2 linked regions of the Xenopus tropicalis genome follow. The protein of the gene in region 1 interacts with the protein of each later gene in a biochemical or structural test. Links are inferred from orthologs where the notes say so. Each region holds a gene or a part of one and is shown in the gene's direction. Other genes may lie near its edges. The genes, in order: cdc25a and ccne1.

Evidence for each region.
Region 2: the proteins of cdc25a (region 1) and ccne1 form a complex in vitro, tested with the Homo sapiens proteins (2 studies listed by BioGRID). The link is inferred for Xenopus tropicalis from reciprocal best matches to the Homo sapiens genes CDC25A and CCNE1.

What each region holds. Positions count from the first base shown.
Region 1 is NC_030682.2:12,719,696-12,730,433, forward strand, and holds the start of cdc25a (M-phase inducer phosphatase 1), read left to right. Parts: upstream 1-871; 5' UTR 872-1,197; intron 1,198-1,388; 5' UTR 1,389-1,426; coding exon 1,427-1,584; intron 1,585-3,257; coding exon 3,258-3,337; intron 3,338-3,462; coding exon 3,463-3,514; intron 3,515-3,900; coding exon 3,901-3,939; intron 3,940-4,452; coding exon 4,453-4,489; intron 4,490-4,748; coding exon 4,749-4,847; intron 4,848-5,319; coding exon 5,320-5,439; intron 5,440-6,540; coding exon 6,541-6,672; intron 6,673-6,779; coding exon 6,780-6,851; intron 6,852-6,946; coding exon 6,947-7,099; intron 7,100-7,202; coding exon 7,203-7,298; intron 7,299-7,923; coding exon 7,924-7,986; intron 7,987-8,076; coding exon 8,077-8,175; intron 8,176-8,338; coding exon 8,339-8,469; intron 8,470-9,049; coding exon 9,050-9,161; intron 9,162-9,266; coding exon 9,267-9,407; 3' UTR 9,408-10,738. UniProt on the Homo sapiens protein: Tyrosine protein phosphatase which functions as a dosage-dependent inducer of mitotic progression. Directly dephosphorylates CDK1 and stimulates its kinase activity. Also dephosphorylates CDK2 in complex with cyclin-E, in vitro.
Region 2 is NC_030680.2:71,330,434-71,341,842, reverse strand, and holds the start of ccne1 (G1/S-specific cyclin-E1), read left to right. Parts: upstream 1-5,588; 5' UTR 5,589-5,641; intron 5,642-5,852; 5' UTR 5,853-5,891; coding exon 5,892-5,905; intron 5,906-6,002; coding exon 6,003-6,090; intron 6,091-6,187; coding exon 6,188-6,256; intron 6,257-7,128; coding exon 7,129-7,280; intron 7,281-8,592; coding exon 8,593-8,728; intron 8,729-10,235; coding exon 10,236-10,382; intron 10,383-10,464; coding exon 10,465-10,560; intron 10,561-11,409. Other genes in the region: uncharacterized protein LOC549154, read right to left, coding at 247-329, 400-475, 4,525-4,779. UniProt on the Homo sapiens protein: Essential for the control of the cell cycle at the G1/S (start) transition.

The sequences.
Region 1 (10,738 bases):
CGGCCCGTGTATGGGGACCTTTAGGGTGAAGACACACAGAGCTACTAAACACCCTACCATAGACAATACTGAGAATTGCCTCTGCTAAAACACATGTAAAGACAATTATCAGTAAATGATCAGCATTGTCTGTTTTAGTAGCTGCTACTAGTAGCTCCGTGTGTCTTCACCCATATGCTGATGTCCCACGGAGCAGCCGAGTCACCCGCGATAAATCTCTGCTATTGCGGGCAACTAACCTCTGCGAAAAGGCTTTCCACTGGCAACAATCGGAGCCCGGTGGAAAGCCATTGGCATCATTTCGGTAATCTGAAGCCGCAGTTTCCTCCCACAAGCAACTTCGCACAACAAAGTGATGTGAAAGGCTTTCCATCAGCGACTCCCATTGTTGCCAGTGGAAAACCTTTTCAGAGCAGTTAGTGTCCTGCCATAGCACAGATCTATTGCAACTGCTCTTGCCCTTATACTAGCCCTGATAAGGGACAGCTCCCAGGTATGTACATAACCTCTAAACGACCTTGCCGCAATATTAGTACTGTTACTGAATTATTTCTAAATGAATGAGTTAAATTATTGATACAGTTGCCATAAAACTTCATATAAATCATACATTTTGGCGAGACAGCCCTACATGACGCAGAACTCTCAGTTCCTGTCACTAACAGGAACTAACACGACTTTTCACTTTTTTCGCGCCTCACGGCGCTGGCCATGTCTACGCTCCTCCGATTGGCAGCATTTTCTCCCGCCCAGCAGCCACTATCGATTCATCGTTCAGCTTGTGCGTGTTCGGAGTTGCCATTGGATGGGTGTGCTGTCAGTCATGCGAACTAGATACGCGAGAATAAGGGCGCCACAGTCAGCTTCGGGATTGGTTTACAGCCTGCAGCTGTGCTGGCGCGGATTGGCCCAGAGACCTGTCACGCTCGCTCCTCATTCGCTGTACCGTCATGGCGCCAAATCTAAGCCCGTGAAGTGGAAGGGTCTATTAGATTGACGTGGATCGGGCTAGTTCCGTGGTTGATCGGAAGCTAAGCGGTGACGCTAAGCCTGCGGAACTAACGGGGAGTCGGTAGCGTGTGGTAGGCCTTCCCACCTCCGCTGCTGCAGGACAACTAAGAGGTACTCGGGCCTTCATTTTGCCGCTATCACCTTTTTACGATTCGGAGGCCAGATTTTGGAGCACTACAATTCCCTGTATGTTTTTTATGTATATATATTTACATTACAGGAACAATATAGCGGAGTTGCTTGTGTCTGCTTATACTTCGCAATAATTACCCGCCCGCATGGCCCTAGAAACTATAGATTTAGCGCTAATGACTCGCTAGCTTAGTGAACCCGCCCCTCTCTACCATTATGCCTTATGTACTTTCTTCTCGTTGCAGAGGTTGCTGTGCCCGGCCGCATCATTTTCAGTGTGAAGATGGAGAGGTGTCGTTCAGCTCCGGCTCATGTCAGAGGATCCAACCGCCTCTCTGGCCTCCCCGTGGTTAAGTCCCTGTTCTCTTGCGAGGCAGACACTGCCCTATCTCCGGTCACTAGCCTCGCTATCAATATGGACCAACTGGCAGGCCTGGGCAGGTAATGGCCATGAGGAATTACTACTTATGTGGTTTGACTGTTGGGTTGGACAGAAAAGGCTTCATGGTCACATCTGTTCTGCTGAGGGTGTCCAACATGTACCTTCAGCCATAGACTTTCTAAGGGTGCTGGGGGTTGTAGCCCAAAACAACCTGTATGATGGTCTATGTATATCAATATCTCCTGGATTGGGGACCCTGGCTTGGCTTATTGCAAGGGCCCATTCTACTCAATCTTGAGTCTGCGGTGCTGTTGCTGAACTACTTCCATTATCCCATGTTATGTTGTGCAGGGAGATGTAGTTTAACCTAGGCACCTAGAGACACAGGTTTGGATGAATGGGTCAGAGGCTATGGGGGGGGGGTTGTTTTAAGAAACCCATTTGCCCCCTCCTTGGCTTGTTAATGGTATTTTTGTTTTAGCCCCTCCTTCTAATGGTGGCTTTACAAACTATAGTGGGTGCCTGACTTATGTCTGCAGATTTGATGTATTTGCTTGTTGAGACTGGGCACAGTGATTGTGGGACTTCAGCAAAGTATGTCTTTACAGCCTGGATCTCTGTGCAATGCAGTCATGTGTTTACAGCCTGGATCTCTGTGCAATGCAGTCATGTGTTTACAGCCTGGATCTCTGTGCAATGCAGTCATGTGTTTACAGCCTGGATCTCCATGCAATGCAGTCATTTGGCTTGTTGGACATCCTGCAAATAAACATGGCACTTAGGAGTTATGCCCCTAAGTATTTACAGCAACAGGGTGTCACATGTGGAATGGCAGCCATTTTCCTTGCACATGTGGGTTACTAGGAATGAAACCTGGGCATGTTCGTTCCCAGCAATGCTGAAAGCAGAAGGAGGCGATCATTGCTATAAAGGGGCTAAAATCTACTAGTGGAACAGTCAGCAAGGGTGGTGCATTTCCTTTTATTCCCCGCGTTTCAGAGAAACCTTTCCCAGCTCCTCAGACTGAAATATTGCACACAACTAATCCGCAAACCCATAGTCTTTTATACAAGGCCCTGGTGCCCAGCAGTGGGGGTAGATTGACAACCTTCTCAGGGTACTGAGGGTCATTTTACCCCCACTTGTTCCATGTGTGCCAGAGTTCCGCTCAGACTGAGAGCCATTTAACTGGCTACTTGTCCTGCAGCATATGGCCCACTAGGAACAGGCTATCCATTAAAGTGGACCTGTAATAAATAATTCCAAGTCCTTTTCTATCATGTTAGTTGAGCAAAATAAACTTAAACTATATAATTTTTTTTATTATACGTGTTGGAACTTAGTCACAGCCAGCAGGGAGGCACCATTTTGTGAACACTGTTATTAAGGCAAAGCTTTGTATCCCCCCCCCCCCCCCCCCCCCAAAAATCATATGCATTTGCCATCTAGGTGATATCTAAGAAGTGCTGAAAGTCTGTGTAAAGCAATTTCTATATCAGTAGTGGGTGCTGAGGGAATAATCCATTGTATTTAGTATTGGGGTGATAACTGAAATGACTGAGCCTCAGATTAAAGTGCAAAACCTCTATGTTTGTAGTAAGCATGTTTTTTTTGTTTTCTGGTTGCTGTGGCAAAGATTCAAAATCGTGTTTTTTGTTTGTTTTTAATATACCACTATAGTTATAGGACGTCCTTAAAGTCTTTTTTTTTTTTTTTTTTCTTCCTATTTTAGCCAGTGTGAAACGCCGACACGTAAGCTCGGAGAGCGCTGGTCTATGAGAAGAACAGACTCTTCGGAATCTATGGACGCTGGTATGTCTTTGCCATAACATAAATGGCTTCAGTATATACAGATGTATTGTAAGGATCTGGTTACAGTGACTTGTAAATGGAGGTCTTTCTTGCTTCTCACTACCTGACTCCCATTTTGTTTGCAGGACTCTGTCTGGATTCTCCAATCAAGATGGATCTAAATGACACGGAAGAAACGTACGTATCTGTGCTTTCACCTTTTCAGTGCAAATCAAACTACTGGCAGCCATGCTTTTCTCAGGGCTGAAATGTTTTGCCCGTGGCACAGTTTAGCGAGCCTGCCTGGCAAACTTAAGGGGATTGCTATGGTGTGTAATGGACCTTCCCCTTTAAAGGGGCAGTGATTCTCCATTTTCAGCTGTTTCCAGTAAAACACATTTCAGGCATTCATAAGGTTTACACGCTGTTTAGCTTAATTAACAAATACCTGTAACTATGCAAATGATATCCATTCCAGAGTCTCCAACTCAGTGTTATATGAATGCACATTGCTTGACTCTCCCCAGAAGTCGCCATAACTGCTTTTCGCTCATATTTAAAATGCACTTTATTCTCCCTCTTAGGTTTCAGAAATCGACTCAGAATTCTGACAGGCTTGGACAGTAAGTATGTTTGTTAAAGATACAGTAGTGGGAATCATGGTACCCTGGTTAAACTAAGCTGAATTTAAAGAGAATTTCTGTAGAAATACAAATGGCTGCAGGAAGAGTATCCTTTCTTTGGCTGCTGACCCCACCCACTTCTTTCCCCTTTCCTGTAAGTTCTGTGTAATCATTCACAAACCTGAGGAAGCCGAGGGACCACTGTCTCAGGCTGCCCACCAAATGTCTGCCCACTTACAGGCTAATCTAGCTTACACAGGCAGCCAGTGTCCCTAGGCCAGTATGCATGCTGCTTTGTCTGAGCAAGGGAGTAGAATGCCGTGAAAAGACCTGCTTAAGTGACGCACTCCATTCCTGCCCCAGTGGGGTCACAAACAGAACATGCCGAGGTTGTAGATAACTAGGAGTTTACAACTTGCACCAAAAGTGTCATAGTTCTGACAATGTAGAGATTTTCTTGCTCATCCTCCATTGATCTTTTCACATATCAAAATGGTGTTTTTGTCTTTCTAGCACAAGGTTACCAATCAAAAGGAGGAACTCCCTGCCGGTGAGTTTTATATTAAACTATCTCATATACTGGTACCATCTAAACATTGATATGGTTGACATCAGTAGCATTAATTGTGTAACATACCAGTGTTAGTAGTGCTGTACACACTGACCTTGTACTGTAGCTGCTCATTCCTTTTCGGCTGCTGAATGAGTTGTTTTTGTCCCACAGCAGTGATGGCACAGTCGGTGTGTAAGGGGGACATTGCAGCTGGTAACATACCAGTACTTTAACCCCCTTCCTTTTTTCCATTCAGCAAAACCTACTGGGATCCAGCCCTGCCTTTAAGAGGAATCTCTCTTACTCTCTAGAATGTGAAGTGTTCCACGCAGCTGACCTGGAGAACAAGGAGAATGTAAGTACTAGTTTATTATCAAGTCATTCAGGAAAAGAAAATGCATTTGAGACATTTAAATATTATTCCCAGATCCGTGTAATAACAATTTGGCAAATTTAAATGGACATAGAATCATTTCTAAAGCTCTTATATAGCATTGGATATCAATCAACTGCTATTAAACCCTGCCCTGCCTGCTAAGGTGTTAAAAGGCTGCAAAGCAGGTAGTAAATGGCACAGTAGCATCTTGAACTATGTGCCACAAGGGCCCATACACTGGCCCATGGTAGTTGTGGCCTAGCAGGAGGACTGCAAGTTGAATTTGTCTGATTTAGATTAGCTGCAGCAAATGCAGTGTTTTAGTTTTGTCATTTTTGTGCTTACAAATCAATAACAAAATAAAGTCGGTTGATACGAGGTAAGGTTAATAGTGGGGGCTCCTTAAATCACCACAATAATGTGACACAATCACTGTGGGTTTCATTTGCAGGAAAAGTTTCAGTTTAAAATCCCAGCGAGACCGCGTTCCCGGGGCTGTTTCCGCTCAAGACTCCATGGGGATGGAAAGGAAAGTCTCGTTCAGAGACAGAAATCTGCACCTGCGTGTATGGTATGTGTCTAATCTCTTGTGCTTCCATAGCCCACTTATCCTTTTTCCAGATGTGTTTTCTTCTCAGTTTTTTATCTCCACATTTCTTTCTTCTCTCCCTTCTACTTCTGATCTTCTATTCCTGTTAATCTTGTGCTACTCCTTTCCCATTTTCCCTGTCTTTTTGCTTATTTTAAATCTGTTTCCTATTTCACATTTATTTTCCACCCTCCTATTTTTCCTCTCATCCCACCCTTTACATATTCTATTTGCCTCCCCCACCTCTGTTTGCATTTGTTTCTACCCACCCCCTCCAACTGAGCTTTCCTTCCCCCCCCTTTTCCCTGCAGTAATCGGACTGTGAGGCTGTCCTTTTTCTTCCAGCTTTTTTTAAAGTGATCACCCATACCAGCATGTCTGGCCTGAGATGCAAAATAGGCTCTGGAATTTCAAGTACACATACCCAAACAGCCCCCCAGAAGGCCAAAACATAGTCACTGTCTATGCCAGTGATCCCCCAACAAGCCCCTGTAAGCTGATAGTGTGCATAGAGGCCCCTAATAGCCAATCTTGGCACCTCCATGAACTTTTATGCTGCTTGTGTTGCTCTGTCTTTTTACATTTGACTGGCTCACGAGTAAGAAAGGTTGGGGACCCCTGGTCTATGCAGTGGTGTGACAATACCTTGCTGGACTCCCCTGCCCAAAATAAATCTTTGGCGGGGCCTGGCACATACTGAAGCCTGCCCACCCCTGATGCAGGCAGATGTGGGTGCACAATCTTTCGGTGCTATAGAGGAAGCCGACTCCGGTTCATGCCTCCCGCGACTGTGGGATCTGCTTCACTTACTGATAAACCACTGTATCTATGGCATCTTACAGCAGCTCTCATTTACCAAAATCTACAGATTGCCTGTCCGGCCTGCTCCATTTATAGAGGTAGCATGAGCAGTAGGATTGCTACAGGTATTGCTCAGGACACAGGAAAACTACAATCTCTTGCACCACATGTACATAAACTGCCCGACACCCTACTTTTTTTTTTTTTTTCTATTCCCTCTGCCCTGCTTTTTGCTAATTTTTATTTAACCTTTACACTAAATCAATTTCTTTGTTTGTTTAGCTGTCCTCTCCTAGGAAAAGTGAAGTTGCAGCTTCTGATATGGTCTTTGTCAGAAAATCCTCAGCTGCTTCCACTTCCACTGAGGGAAGTGATGATGGCTTCTTGGATATGTTGGACGGAGAGGACCTAGAGGTAAGCTGTTGCTGTTTTTACCGATGTACATGAATAAATCTGGATCCCAAGGTGGGTGCTATTATAAAGCATGCCATGGATATTAAGATGTTCTTTTCTGTTTGTAGAACGATACAGAGTTTCCCTGTGGTGTTGCAAGCCTATGGACGGCTCCCCTTGTCATGAAAAGCACTGAAAATGTAAGTGTTCCAGTCGTATGATTTACACTCTTTGCCAGTCTGGTTCCTGCCACATATCTCCTTCATCCTACTCCTCACTTCTGTATCCCCCTCAGTGTCTTGAGGTCCGACCTGCCTCTGAGCCAAACTGCACTACAAAACCAGCACTGAAACGAGTGGAGCGAACGCCGGACGAAGACGCGCCAGAAAAGAGCAAAAGGCGAAGGAGCGTGTCTGAAATTGCAAAGGAAGAGCTGGATCATGACAAAGTGAGTTCTCGGCTCTACCAAACATGCTGTTGGGGTTTTTCTACCCCTTCCCTTTAAGTTTGAGAATAACATTTCCCCCTTCTCCCTCCTTTTTGTTTTATAGAACTCAAGATTAATGCGATCAAAGTCCCTTTCCAGTCAGAACATAGAAAGTATGCTGGACAACGATCAAGTCAGTCTCATTGGGGACTTTTCAAAGGTATTTTATGTTTTCCCCCATGTGATGTTACGTTGTGTCCAATTTGAAATTAATTGCAGTTATGGACTGTTCAGGGTTTTGAGACTGACCTTACACACAACCTACTGTTTAGGTTTAATGCAGGGTTTTATTGGTTCATAATGTTAGTGTTAGTACCTGAGCTGCTTAAAAAAAAAAAAATCCACCTTTAACTCAACCTTGGGTGTGTTGCATTCAGGTAAAGTCTGAAACAATTTGCATTTTGTCTTTTATTTTCTGTTGCTAGAGTCCACTTTACCCCAGCAGCCAGCCAGTGGTATAAACAAAAATCTTAATAAATAGGTGAGGTGGGCAGAAAAGTCAAAGTAACAACAAAACATTAGCCCCACAGGGCAATAGCTTTTTATCTAATAGGGTCCGTGACACCCCCCCCTTTTCATCTGAAAAAGGTAGAAGCAGCATATTAAAAAAACTGTAATTTAAAGAACATTTGAAGAGTTGCTAGGAATAGACCATTCTATAGGATACACAGTTAACTGAGGTTAAAGGTGAGCCACTCATTTTGGCAGGACACTGAGGTTTTTCAATTTGCCAAGCACTTCCTTTTGAGTTACATGGCTGACTTGGCTCTGTGTTGTGTTTTTAGGTCTTCCTGTTCCCGACAGTGAGCGGCAGGCACCAGGAACTAAAGTACATCACTCCTGAACTGGTGAGCTTTCCTGTACATCAGTGTTTTGCCCCCCCCCCCCCCCCCGCCCCTGCCATTTCAGTATTCTCAAATAATGTTATACTTTTGCAGATGGTTCTCATCCTAAATGGAAGATTTGACCCCTTTATTGAGCGATGCGTGATTATTGATTGTAGATACCCCTACGAGTATGAAGGAGGTCACATACAGGTAGGTTTTACTTGTACTGTTTCGTAGTTGAGAAGATGGTTCCTTTTGTGGTGATGTGATTAAGTAATGGCTGCGAAAAGTTCTGGAAATGTTGACTAAAGGCTGACAGTGGTTGTTGGTAGATGGGTATATATTAGACCACAGTGCTTTGCTTTTTCTGCAGGGAGCCATTAACCTTCACATGGAGCAGGAGGCTGAGGAATATTTCCTAAAGAATCCAGTCATGTCAAATGGTTCCAAACGAGTTATCTTAATCTTCCACTGTGAGTTCTCGTCGGAGCGGGGACCCAGAATGTGAGTAAACACAGCCCACTGAGCGCTTTCCTGTGCCCCAATTCCATCTTCAGCTGTCTAATATACTGGTGTCTGTCCTGCACCCTCTGGTGATATTGGAGAAGGGTGTATTGAGAGCAGGTATATAAGTAATGACAGCTCACTGGGTTTGGCTTTTTGTCGTCCCACACTGCTTTCCTTGGCGCATCAATCAGTGCAACGGAAAATGCTTCCAAACCCCGTGTTATACCCTAAGCACAGCTATGAGAGCAGCCACACTACTGAAGCTTTAGTACTTGGGATCCTGTGGCTAATGGCTCATGGTTCCTTTGCTAGTGTAGTTGCCCTTTAATAATTGGGTGCAAATCTAAATAGCATTTTTTTTTTAATGCACAAGAAATTTAGAAAATGAACTGCCATGCAAAGATCATGGCTGAAGCTTGAGTTAGGGGGCAGAGAAGCCCTGTATGGGTCACTTTCTCTCATTAAAGCGCCAGTAACAACACCTTTTTCTCCTAGGCTTTAATGTGGGCGACCAAGCACCCTGTGTGTTGCCATAAGTTTCAGATGCCCGGCTTATTCTTTCAAACCTCTGTTACAGGTGCAAGTTTCTACGGGAGAAAGACAGAGATAGAAATGAATATCCGCAGTTATACTACCCAGAGCTTTATATTTTACATGGTGGATATAAAGAATTCTTTCAGAAGTGCAAGGTAAGTAACATGCCAATGGGCATATGTGAGTGCTTTTTGTATGTACAGGCATAGGACCTGTTATCCAGAATCAGATTTAGAAGTCTGTTTCTCTCCCCTTACCAGACCTACTGTACGCCGCAGACCTACCGCCCCATGAACCACGAGGACTTTAAAGAAGACCTAAGAAAGTTCCGCATGAAGAGCCGGACATGGGCAGGGGAGAGAAGCAAGAGAGAACTGTACAGCCGGCTGAAGAAACTATGAGCCTCCGTGCCCGCACAGTCCTGCCTTTTCAATCACAGAGCAGCCGATAGAGCCGCGGAGATAAAACTATATCATGAAACTCATTCTCTTCTGCGCTCTTGTTCTGCTTTGTTTTCTTTGCACATGAACCTTCCTCAGGAGGTGTATCTGACACAGGCATATGTTGTGCCATATTCAGTTCTGCCTTACAGCACTCATTGCTGAGAGTTCTGGAATCTGTCTACTGCACTGTCCTATTGAATGGACATTTTTTTTTTTTTAACAATGGTTTGTTTGGGTGAGAAAAAAATGGAGTATAAAATTAATCAATGATCCCAAAGGTGCAACGTGAAGCCATAGAATGCTTGTAGCTCAGGCTTCTCTGCTACCGGATCCACCTGTTACATTCCATATCATGCATTCTCATTGGCAGAACTGGTTTCCCTGCTCAAGGCACCAAGTTGGCCAAAGTGCAGACTTCCTGCAACTTTTTTTTCTGGATTCCATTTCCGTTTCAAACTGAGAGCAAGTTCTGCCATTGGCTGGCTTTGATCTCCTCTGGGGGCATTTTAACATTTAGGTTCAATTTATCTAAATGGCCACTGCCAGTATTTATTGCTGTTTTTATGATTTTGTTTAAAAGTATTAACTCTCTTTTCTCAATTTTGAGAAGATTTTTTTTTTTTTCCTTTTTTAATCAAGGATTTGCACGACGAGAAATGTTTTATCGTTTTTGAGTTGTTTTACTATTGAATAAGTTGTGGTGATTATCAGACTGTGGTTCCCTTCACCCCAGGGCTGAATTCAGCTCACAGGTAAGGATATAGGTACTGGTCCTGCCAGAGAACTGATCAGCAAGGCTTTGTGTATTACTCAAGGGCCAGTGTTGGATAAAAGGGGCACCTGAAGTAACAGTATGGCTGAGCACCCCTCCCACAGCTGCACTCCGCCCCCTGTGTGGTCCTTCCATCAGATATTTGGGCAGGAGTGGTCCTTTAGGGGGTGCTAAAGAGCTGACCTAGACCAATTTTAATCTGTTTTTAAATGGAGTAACTGCAATGTGTAGTGTTTGTAATAACCCCTTAGTGTTAACTCTTCACCTTCGCACACTTACACATTTACATGTTAGGCTTAAAAATGAAGGTGGAGAACTTAATACCTAGAAGGGGCCAAGGTTGACGACGTGGGTTGTCATGTTTTAGGAAGTGACAGTACAGCTCCCTTCCTTACTAGGCAATTTTCACCTTGTCGACTTGCCAAATGTTCCTGGTCATGGTTGAACTTCTCGGTACTATTGACTCCTGCCGTGACTCCCTATTGAGAGTTGTAACATGGCACTGACCCAATGGCCC
Region 2 (11,409 bases), on another chromosome or scaffold:
GGTGCAATGAGACTGTGGCCACTGTGTGTAAATGACACTTAACAATACGTATTAAAAAAAAATAATAAGTGAAAATGCAGCAGAACGGTTTCTAAAACTGAGATCTGTCTCACTGAAGTGGACCCTATTTTTGCGAGGACTAAGGGAGTCAACAGAAAAAAATAACTTTAAAAACATTTTACAGTAACTGAAGTATAATTCTGCTGTGGGCAGAACATTTAGGACAGCAAGAAAACAAAACCTTACTATTCCAGCATTTTTATAAATCTCAGCTTCATGACAGGCTTCTTCTATGATTTGTGCCACTGGCAATCTGCTGCCTGGAGTACCTAATTTTAAATGAGAAAAGCGTCATTAGAAATATGCAGGGCCTTAATTTATTCTAAAGAATCTACTTACCAGGCAAAGCCTTTACGTGCACCATGCCTATTACAATAGGCTTGACCGTTCCAAAGAGTTGTAAGAACTTCATGGTCTACAAATATAAACATTCTTTGTTAAAAAAACACATTATCCACTTCTTCATTGCTTTTTTACAATTAAAATAACAAACTTATAGATTTTATAACCTGTTTAAACCAGTTACTTTTCCCCATCAGTGTTCCCAAAGCTTGACTCACTCTAAAGGTAGCCATACAAGGTCCCCTGATAAGAGCCCTGATGGGCCTCTCCAAACGATATCTGGCCGAAAACTGGCCAGGTGTTGATTGGGCAGGTTTCATTTTCCCGCATCGGATCATTAGTGCAACCCTCTGTCCAAAGGCTCCTATGCCTGTCGATCATTTGGCCATTAAGGTGGCAGGTGTATATCTAATTAATTATTGCAAACATGCTTCTAACCTATACCAACTCAATTGTTGATTGGTTGGTATGGGTTACTGCCCAGGTGCAAATTTGCCTAGCGTTTAAAAATGTGCACCAGTACCTAGTTTACAAAATAGGACAAACTGGGCAAATTTACCCACTGTTAATAATTGAGCACCACTGTGCTGATTCTCACTCCACACTGACAAATTCTAGACCTTTGTAGTAGAGGAAGTGACCAGCAACCCCATCCTTCCAAGGAGATAGCATAAATTCAAAAACAGAGTAATCAGATTTAAGTAAAATAGCCATTTTTGTTAAAGGAGAATGCAAGTCAAAATTTAAAAAGCACACTGCCCACACTGCCCAATTGTTTAGTAAAAACGCCACACTTTTGGCTCACCTAATCAAATATTTACTCAGTCACACTTACTTCACATTTTCTAGAACAGGCAGCCATCTCTAAAAAGGTATTTTCCCTTCCTTTCCCTCCTTGCTTCATACTGCACATGTGTTTCATTCCCTCCCCCCCTCCCCTCCCCTCTGCCAGATCCGCTTCTGATTGGCTGGTGGGCATGTGTAGCTCAGAACAGGAGACAGGATCAAGTTACACACATGCTCAGAGAATAGGAAGGCTGCCGCTGGCACCTACAGGAAGGACAGAGCGATTTCAGTGATGTCACTGTAGTCTTCACACTGCTGTAGGCTGCCAGCACCATATCTCAGAGAAGCAAGCAGGGATCTGGGAATTTAGATATGCAGTAAGTACTTAAAAAGAATTTAGACTTTAGACTTACTTTTAATTTATATTAACCTTTCATTGTCCTTTAATGCATTATATTTTGAAAAAGGTTTATTTACCAAAGCTCTACCACAGTGGTAGGACTTTTTTTTTTTTTTTTAAAGGTGGGCGTTTAATTACTAATGATTTTTCTTCACAGGCATGAAAATGCAATATTATGTGCAACTGTGCACTTTAGCATTGCCTGTTTCTACATGCATACACACATATGTTCAGCCAGTTTGTTATTACTGATTTAGATATCACCTTACTGAGCCACAGGGCAAGTAAACTATTTTAGAAAATGTCAATTAAAAAAAAAAATCAACATAGGATTATGACAAACTCATTGTTTTATTGACAGGTGACACAGTCCCACCTGCACTTACAAAATAAATATGTGATTAAAGTGTACATTCCAGTTTAAATGCACTAACATAATTGTTGACTGATGTAAATAGTGCCTATGGAAAGTTCCAAATTGCACATTTAGTTACAAAAGGCCACAGCATGCATTGATGTTGTGTTGACCATTTACTTGATTGAGCCAGATCCGGAAGAGTCCCAGTGTTGCCCAGCAGTCTACTTGCCAGTGTGATAACAGTATGCCACGATGCACTGAAAGGAACAGTAACAATAACAAATTAAAGTATTTTAAAGTAATTAAAATATAATATATTATAATATACTGCACTTGTAAAACTGGTGTGTTTGCTTCCGAAAAACTGCTATAGTTTATAAGCTGCTGTGTCGCCAAAGGGGCAGCCACTGAAAGGAGAAAAGGGACAGGTTACATAGCAAATAAGATATGTAGAAAATTATGGTGTTCAACAGAGCTAATCTGTGCCATTTAGCCCTTGAATTGCCTCCATTGCTACACAGCAGCTTGCTAACATAAACTATATTAGTGTTTCTGAAGTAAACAGATCAGTTTTACCAGTGCAGGGCAACAGTACATTATATTTTAATTACTTTAAAACTTTAATTTTTTGTTGTTACGGTTCCTTTATGTTATACAAAGGCAAACAGGTGCAGCTTTTCTGCGCTTGCACACAGTGAAACACAACATTTTGGTAGTATGTGTAATACCAATCTCTCTGGAGTCTGTGTATTTAAGATCTGTTCAAATCCAAGCAGCCAATGATATATGCAGAAATACACATCCAATGTGTCAATAATAAACTCTGGCAAGATGCTAAATTGGCGCAATCATCAAAGTTTTTACCCATTGTTCTTTGTCTGAACCCTGAACTCCAGGGTCCAATGCATGCACTTCAAATTAGTACAGCATCAATGCTGGCCCAGAATCTCAACAAAAAATGCATTTGCATCTCTGTGGGCATTCTCCAACATGCTTTCCAGTTGTATTCTATTCTGCTATGCTGCTCATGCAAGGGGAAATCACTAAATGCATTTGCTACTGGTCTTCACAAATGCCTAGTAGCTAAATGTATTTCAATATAATAGCTGCAGATTTTGTCTAGCAGGCATTTTGCACAACATTCATGAGTTGTTGTTGCTGTGAATTAAACATCAAAACTTCATTGAAGAAAAGCTAAATTTAGAGCAGCAATAAGTTACTCAGGTCACAGTGAATTTAGTTGCTTAGTTTATTCACTGGGCTGGTGCATTTTCTACCAAAGAGGAGTGCCTGCCCTGATGTCTAACATATTATCACTCCCAGTAAATTTCTTCAATGTCCTTTAACTTTGCACTGTAGTTTTGTTGGCATATTAACTTTGGTGTGGTTGGTGCAAGAAGGTCAAAGCTCTAAATAGCATGGCCAAGTTTGCAACTTGCACCACTCAAGAGATTTATAAATGAGCGTCCCATTATGATTCCTACCAGAAACTACAGTGACAAAATAATGTGTCAGACAAAATGGCAGTTTAGAGAACCTTTTTTCTGCTTCTGTTCTTTTTACTTTGTTGATGTCAACCCTGACAGACTAAACAGAACCAGACTGTGCAGTAACTCCAGTGTTTACTGTTTTGTAGGTGTCTGCTAAAACTGAATATATACACACACACCTGTGGTGCTTCATTTCTACTATCATATGCGGTCACGTATCAACAAGTATGTCAACTCCATTGCAATGGATTCATTACAACCCATCCTAATACCACTGCAGAAGAGCAAACAGAATACAGCGCTGTTATGTTTTTTTGAGGGGTTTGTATACTATTTGCTTTGTCATTGCTTTAAAAAAGAAAAAAAAAAGAAAATAATCTGTCCATAGACTATTAAAACATCTTCAATGGCCTGGTCACCTTTATTTTGTTTTAAATAAGTCTTTGTGTTTGCCGTAAGTCTGAGGCTTATTTTTTGCATTTCTCATAAGGGTAATAATAAAAGGTACTGCAAGTATACATCAATTAGGTAGCCTTGCATTAAAAAAATGAGTAACTGCTGCTTAGTAGCTGCTGCACATGGGACACTGGCTCCATTATGCTCACGTCTCACATAGAACCTTATTATATGGCTAATGTAATAATCTGTAAAATGTAGTTTGTATACCCACATACCTTCCCCCGACTGCTAAACAACATATAATGCAGTGTATATAATACATAACAGATGCCCTTTCTAGATGGAATGAAAGGGAGAGGGTAACTGACAACAAGAACAATACTAAACTCCTGTAATGAAGCTGTCAGATAACAAAGGCACCTGGACATGCCACAGAATAACCTACAGAAAGAACCTCAGTTTAACTGAGCACACTAATAACATCACATGCGAGCATTATGTCGGACAGTGGACATCTAACAAACATGCATGACTTTAGAATGTCCTTATTAAAAGGCATCGCGATATTATTAGGGCAATAAATATAAGCGGCGTGTGGGATTCAGCAGAGGAATTGCGTAGAAGAGATATTCAAACACAGCTAGTCCGCTAAAGAAACCCATAACGTTTCAAAATAGAGGTTTTCTTACCAAAAGCCGGTCCCCCCAGTTCCCAGGAACCTCTTGTTTACATCCAGCTTCAGCAAACCACGTGGCTCTTCCGACTTCCGGATGCCCGCCCCTTAGTTCTTTCCACACGCCCCCAAACTTGCTTCTCCCCGCCCCCTCTTGCCGGTGTCTGCACTGCTTGTGTTTATAACCGGCCCGGGAGGTGGTGGGGAGGCCGGCTTTGGTCTGCATCTGTAACTTTTTACTTGGCCTCAGTTTGAGGGGAGACGAGGTCATTTCCAAGTGGCAGCCTGGGGGTGATGTTGGCGAAAGAGGGAAGCTAGCGCGCCTGCTGCAGTTTGAATGTGCCGCCGCTTGTCATATAAAGGCTGAACCCGCCAGCTCAGTGCGGCCATCCGGAGCCAGGAGCAGCTGCAGGCTCGGCGTGCACCCAGGCCCCCTCTCCCTGTTATCTCGCTGCACATTGTACAGACCCCCAAGCACAGCACAAAGTCGCCTTACAGCAACGAGCTGTATATTGCTAGTCCTATTTATTCCTTTTACCCAACAAGAACCTAATATATATCTATTTATGCACCTAACTTACGGCTAAGTTATTGCCAAAGTCTCCCCAATATCCTGCTATTCATCCCTCGCTGCTATATATTTATACTCTTGTCCCATACAGAACTTTTAGCCTTCGCCTCTTCCCATCTGCTTCTGTCCATCTTCGAGCATTTCGCCATTGGATCCAGTGTGTGGGTAAGTCTCTGACCTACTTACCGATGCACCTAAAGGCCCACAACGGACACGTCCATTTCACGCTTTTCCCGATTGCCCAACAAGATTCTGGGCAGGCAAAGTTTCAGGGGTTCAACTTTAAAGCAGCAGCCGGAGGGCTGCATGTTGGACATCCGTGCTTTACGGCTTTGCAAAAGTTCATAGCCTGTACAAAAGGGGTTAAATATTGTGTCTACGGAAGGTATTGTAATGAGGGATACTGTTGTGAGTGTATTAATCGACTATAATTGCTTCTTTTAAGACTTAGGGGGGGATGGAAGCACGTCTAGTCCCTTCCCCCCACTAAGTACAAGTTGTGCGGCCATCTTCTCAGCCTACTTTCACTTGGCTGTGACTGCTGCATGCACAAGATCTCGGGGTACGGGGTGACACTTTGTGGGTGCTGCTATACATTATCTACAGTAACAAGCAGGGAAGTCTCAGGCCTTGTTTTGCATCTCCACCCTCCCTTCCTCCACCTTCTTCCCGGCGCCAAAGCATTAGTGGGGGCAGGGGAACACATTACTAACATTTTCTCAATTAAATCCGGGTTTTGCCTTAAATTTAACCTTCACTTTCTTGAATTTCAGGGTAAGAAAGGTTAACCTTCATTCAAAAAAAGTCCTGAAATGCCCGTGATAAGGTAAGTGTACAAAGATGGCTAACCTACCAGCACATGTCAGAGAGGTGAAACTTTACATTCCCTGATATTATTATTTCTAATAATATTCTTTTTCTAGCAATCCTCCAGTTGAAAAAGGCACAAAGGGAGAGGAGAGGGCAAGCTGTTCTGTGCGCTCCAGAAAGAGAAAGGCAGATGTGGCTATTGTAAGTTCATACAAAGGGCCATGTGCAGTTTTGGACACTGTGTGTGTGACTAACTCTGCTCTGGCATTCTCAACTTGTTTCTTCTATTCCTTTTTAGTACTTGCAAGATCCAGATGAGACCTTGGATTGCTTGGAAATGACAAAGAAAAAACAATATCAAGACAGGGTAATTAACATAAGGGCCTTTACCACTTGCTGCTTTTCATATTATTCTCTCTCATAAATTTGTGTATCATCACTGTTGCTAACAAACTGATATTATTGCATAGGCCCCCTATTCAGTACTAATGAGGGAAGAAGTCATAGACATCTAGTTGTTTAGTACAACTGATAAAGATCAAGCTATGATTTCATCATTAAACTCTAGTTGGTGACTAAGTTGACTTATAATCTGTTTTATGTAAAAGCCATTTAAGAGTAAGATGCAGTAAAATCAAGCTTTTTGTTAATGTCACATTTAATACATACAGCCCTAAAGTCTAAACTTAGGCATTTATTAAATACACAATCAGCCCTAGAAGTTTCATAAGAGTTCAGGACATTTGAAGTCTTTTTTTTTTTTTTTTTTGCCAGGTTTTGGTTTCATACAGTTGCCTTGCTTTGCATAATAGATGTGCATGATTCTGCATTTTTTTTTTTTTTTTTATAAACTACATATTGCATTTTTTTTTTTTTTTAAACATAATTACAGCTTCTCGGTTTGTGGCTTTCACTACATAGGAAGAATTTAGAATTTGTCAGCTATTAAAGGGCATTAAATAATCTAAGGTGGTATCTTTCAATTTAAATGTATCTATAGTTTGTTTTTGTGTACCACTTCTTGGTAATTGTTGTTTAACCAAATAACCAGTGACTCTGATTTTTTAGCTTTGGAATACTTTTGTACTTTATTTGACAAATTTCATCTGAAAATGTAATTATATCCCAGTACATCAATAAAGAGTTATTTAAAAGACATGCATTACTGTTTATTTGTTGTGTTAATCATAATAGTCTGGTAGTTTTTCTGCCTTTATACACTTCTTGTTCTATCATTAGGGACCATGGAGCAATGAAATGATATGCAAAAGCCCCCACAAATTGATCCCTACACCTGAAAAAGAGGAACACGAACAAAACCCTACCAGCTACCCGCACTTTGCTTCTCTCCGGTTCAGTCCAGTCAGCGTTTCTCCTCTTCCACGTCTTGGGTACATGCCTTGTGTAACTTGACTGTTCCGTTGGTGGTGTTATAGCACAATTGAATCTGTAACACTTTACTTTTCAGACAGACATTTAGTACAAGGGCAGTTTGGCAATAGTAGTTGCGATCTACAATACAGTATAAGGAAGGACATTTACATGGCCCAGGTGTCTTTGCTAGTACTTATATTCACTATAAATAGTTTCCTGTGGCAGACATTTCTGTGATGCATTGATTCTGGTGTTGGTTTGCAGAATTATAAACTGTATTTTTACTACCCCTTATGAAACTAGAGCTAGCAAATATTTTGGGGCTGGTAGCATCAGTCGGCTATTGTTTATCCACGTACAACAGCTTTTTTTGTCAGAACCAAACCCATCCTTTGTCCCATAGCATTTACAGTTTTGGCTATTAGTGTCCCATAATAAGAATGCTGCAAGTTTTTCATTTAAAGAAATGACTGGCCTGTTCCTGTGTGATGCAAACAGCATTCATTACAGTGAATCTTATTACTGGAGAATAAAGAAGACCTTATCTATGTCACAGCAGGTATCAGACTTTTTCCAAGTAAAGATTCTGCATCATAGTTGCATGTAATATGACCTGGGGGCTTACTGTCCTTAGTCATCCAGTTGATACATGTGTTGGCCATTGGTTTTGTATTTTGAGAAATTGCCCTCTGATACGATTTGATCAGAACTGATCTCTGAAAACTAAAAGCCTGGCTGGCTGGCACCTGCTTGTTAAAGGCCAACAGCAGGAAGGGGTACGCTTTATCAAGCTTCTGTCAGTCAATATCATTTCTATAATGTTTATATGGAAGTTATTTTAAGCACTTGTAAACTTCCCTTAATGACTTGTGTGCTGTGAATACATTGTAAGGTGACTGTTTCTCATAAGAGACATGATAAAGGACCAGGAAAGGCCCTAAATGTATCTTAAAACCGTGCATATTCTTTCCATCAGTCTTGTGCACTTAGTCATTAATCTCACCAAAATGAGAAAAAAAAAATTACTTCTAAATTTATAATAATGGGGGTCTATTCATTTTAGGAATATTAACCTGGGATTTTGATCTCTTGAGACAAATCAGAATTTTTTTTCTGGTTTTAAATAAATTGCCTTTTATATTTAAAAAAAAAAAAATGGCAAGAAAAGTGGTTGGGGGGGGGGGGGGGGGGGGAGTTCATTGGCAATGGTCCAAGGATACAACTTTCTACATTATAACATGTTTTTTATGTCCTCTGCTTTTAATGACTGTTCTTAATCATACAATTCAGATGTTCTAGCTCTGTATTAAGTACAATCTTACTTTGCAGATGGGCGAATCAAGATGATGTCTGGAGAAACATGTTGAACAAAGACCGAACTTACCTGAGGGACAAGAATTTTTTTCAAAAACACCCTCAGTTGCAACCTAATATGAGGGCTATTCTCCTTGATTGGCTTATGGAAGTGAGTACTGTTTTTTCCTTTTTCCCTTTTTTTAACTAGCCTTCAAAACTCTACCTTACTTGAAAAAGTCACCTTCAATAGTTTAAGCAAGACCATTGATTTAAATGGCGCTGCTTATTGGAGTAGAGTGCAAAGGTCCTGCAGTGACAATGTGATAAGACCTTGTAAGGTGGTGAGAATTTCTGAATATTCCTCTTCCTCTAATCATGAAAGCTGGAGTGGAGATCTTGATTGATTCCAGAATGATCTGCTTGGGATTGTATTTTAGATTAGTCTAGTTGATATAATACACCAAAGATTATGTAATATGGGGTACAACACTTGCTACACCTAATCACCTATAGCAGTCAATCAGTAGGTAGCATCAACTGGTCACCTGTTTAAAAGCAAACCTCTTGTTTGCTATGGGTTACTGCTCCATGGCAAACTTTGCCAGTTAAAAAATATGCACAGTTATACACAATCACTGCACATACGCAAAACCCAGCCAAAGAATACCAACCAAACAGTTCTTTCACAGCAGTACTGTTTAGCTGGTATTCTTGGATAAGAGGGTTTAGCATATGTACAGTGATTGTGTATAACTGTGCATTTCAAAATTTTAAATCCATTCCTAAATAACTGGAGCTTGCTGGCAAGACTAAAAATTGAGTGAAATAAAATGAAGGGCGGCTTCAAAGTCACAGCAGGATGAATGACCCAAACAATACCCTACAGCAGGGGTCCCCAACATTTCTTACTCATGAGCCACAGTCAAATGTAAAAAGACTTGGAGAGCAACACAAGCATCATAAAAGTTGCCAAATAAGGGCTAAGATTGGCTATTGGGTAGCCTCTATGCACACTATCAGCCTACAGGAGGCTTTATTTGGTAGTAAATCTTTTTTTTTTTTTTTTTTTTTTTTTTTTTTTTATTCAACCAAAACTTGCCACCAAATCAGGAATTCAAAAATAACTACCTGGTTTGGGGGTACTGAGAGGCACTGATGACTGCCCCTACAGCTTGAACTGGTAAATTTTGAGATGGTCTCTGCAGGTGGAGGTTTTCCTTCAAGGAAAAGATGTCATAGGTTATCTTTTTGCCACGGCATTACTTTCTTTGAAAAAAACACACCCTGGAGAGCTGGCAAGGGAAGAGGTACTAGATACACCAGTAGTCTTTTTGGAAGCACTTCCTTAACTTAATAGTGCCATTTTTTTTTCTGGTAGTGCTACCTCTAGAGGCATATGGCCACATCATACAGTACCAAAATTAGACACAAATGAGGTAAAAGCACTTAATACTGTGAAGTGTTCAATTAGGAATTGTCTGGCTGAAATATTAATCTTCAGTGTAAAGTTTTGCAGTCATTTCTGAATAAGCCTTATAATGTAAATTTATACTCCCACAAGCACTTGCAGGACTTGCACATTTTTTTTATTTCATATACTCTGGCATTTTTAAATTTAAAAGCAAGTGCAGCTGTTTTGCATATATAAAATATTAATTGTATTCTCCCCCCCTCAGGTTTGTGAAGTGTACAAACTTCACAGAGAAACATTTTACCTAGGACAAGATTTCTTTGATCGGTTTATGGCAACTCAAAAAAATGTAATTAAAAGTAGACTGCAACTTATTGGAATCACATCTTTGTTCATTGCTGCTAAGCTGGAGGTTGGTAAAGTTTTTTACTTTCTTTTTGGGTAGAGCTATAATGGTCAACTTACCATAAAGTGAGTTCTTTACTTTATTGCAGGAAATATACCCTCCAAAGCTGCATCAGTTTGCATTTATCACAGATGGCGCCTGTACAGAAGATGAGATTACAAGTATGGAGCTGATAATAATGAAGGTAAAGCCTTATGGGTTTTAGGAATAATACATTGCTCAAAAAAAATAAAGGGAACACAAAAAGAAGACATCCTAGATCTGAATGAATGAAATATTTTTATTAAATACTTCACTCTTTACATAGTTGAATGTGCTGACAATAAAATCGCACATATATTATCAATGGAAATCAAATTTATCAACCCATGGAGGTCTGGATTTGGAGTCACACTCAAAAGTGGAAAAAAAACACTATAGGCTGATTCAACTGTGATGTAATATCCTTAAAACAAGTCAAAATGAGGCTCAGTAGTGTGTGTGGCCACGTGCCTGTATGACCTCCCTACAATGCCTCGGCATGCACCCACACAAATGACTCGGGTAGTGCAGCTCATCCAGGATGGCACATCAATGCGAGCTGTGGCAAGAAGGTTTGCTGTGTTTGTCAACGTAGTGTCCAGAGCATGGAGGCGCTACCAGGAGACAGGCCAGTACATCAGGAGACGTGGAGGAGGCCGTAGGAGGGCAACAACCCAGCAGCAGGACCGCTACCTCCGACTTTGTGCAAGGAGGAACAGGAGGAGCACTGCCAGAGCCCTGCAAAATTACCTCCAGCGGGTCACAAATGTACATGCTTAAATGGTCAGAAACCGACTTCATGTGGGTGGTATGAGGACCCGACTTCCACAGGTGGGGGTTGGGCTTACAGCCTTAACACCGTGCAGGACCTTTAGCATTTGCTATAGAACACCAAGATTGGCAAATGCGCCACTGGGGCCCTGTGCTCTTCACAGATGAAAGCAGGTTCACACTGAGCACATGTGATAGATGTGACAGAGTCTGGAGATGCCGTGGAGAATGTTCTGCTGCC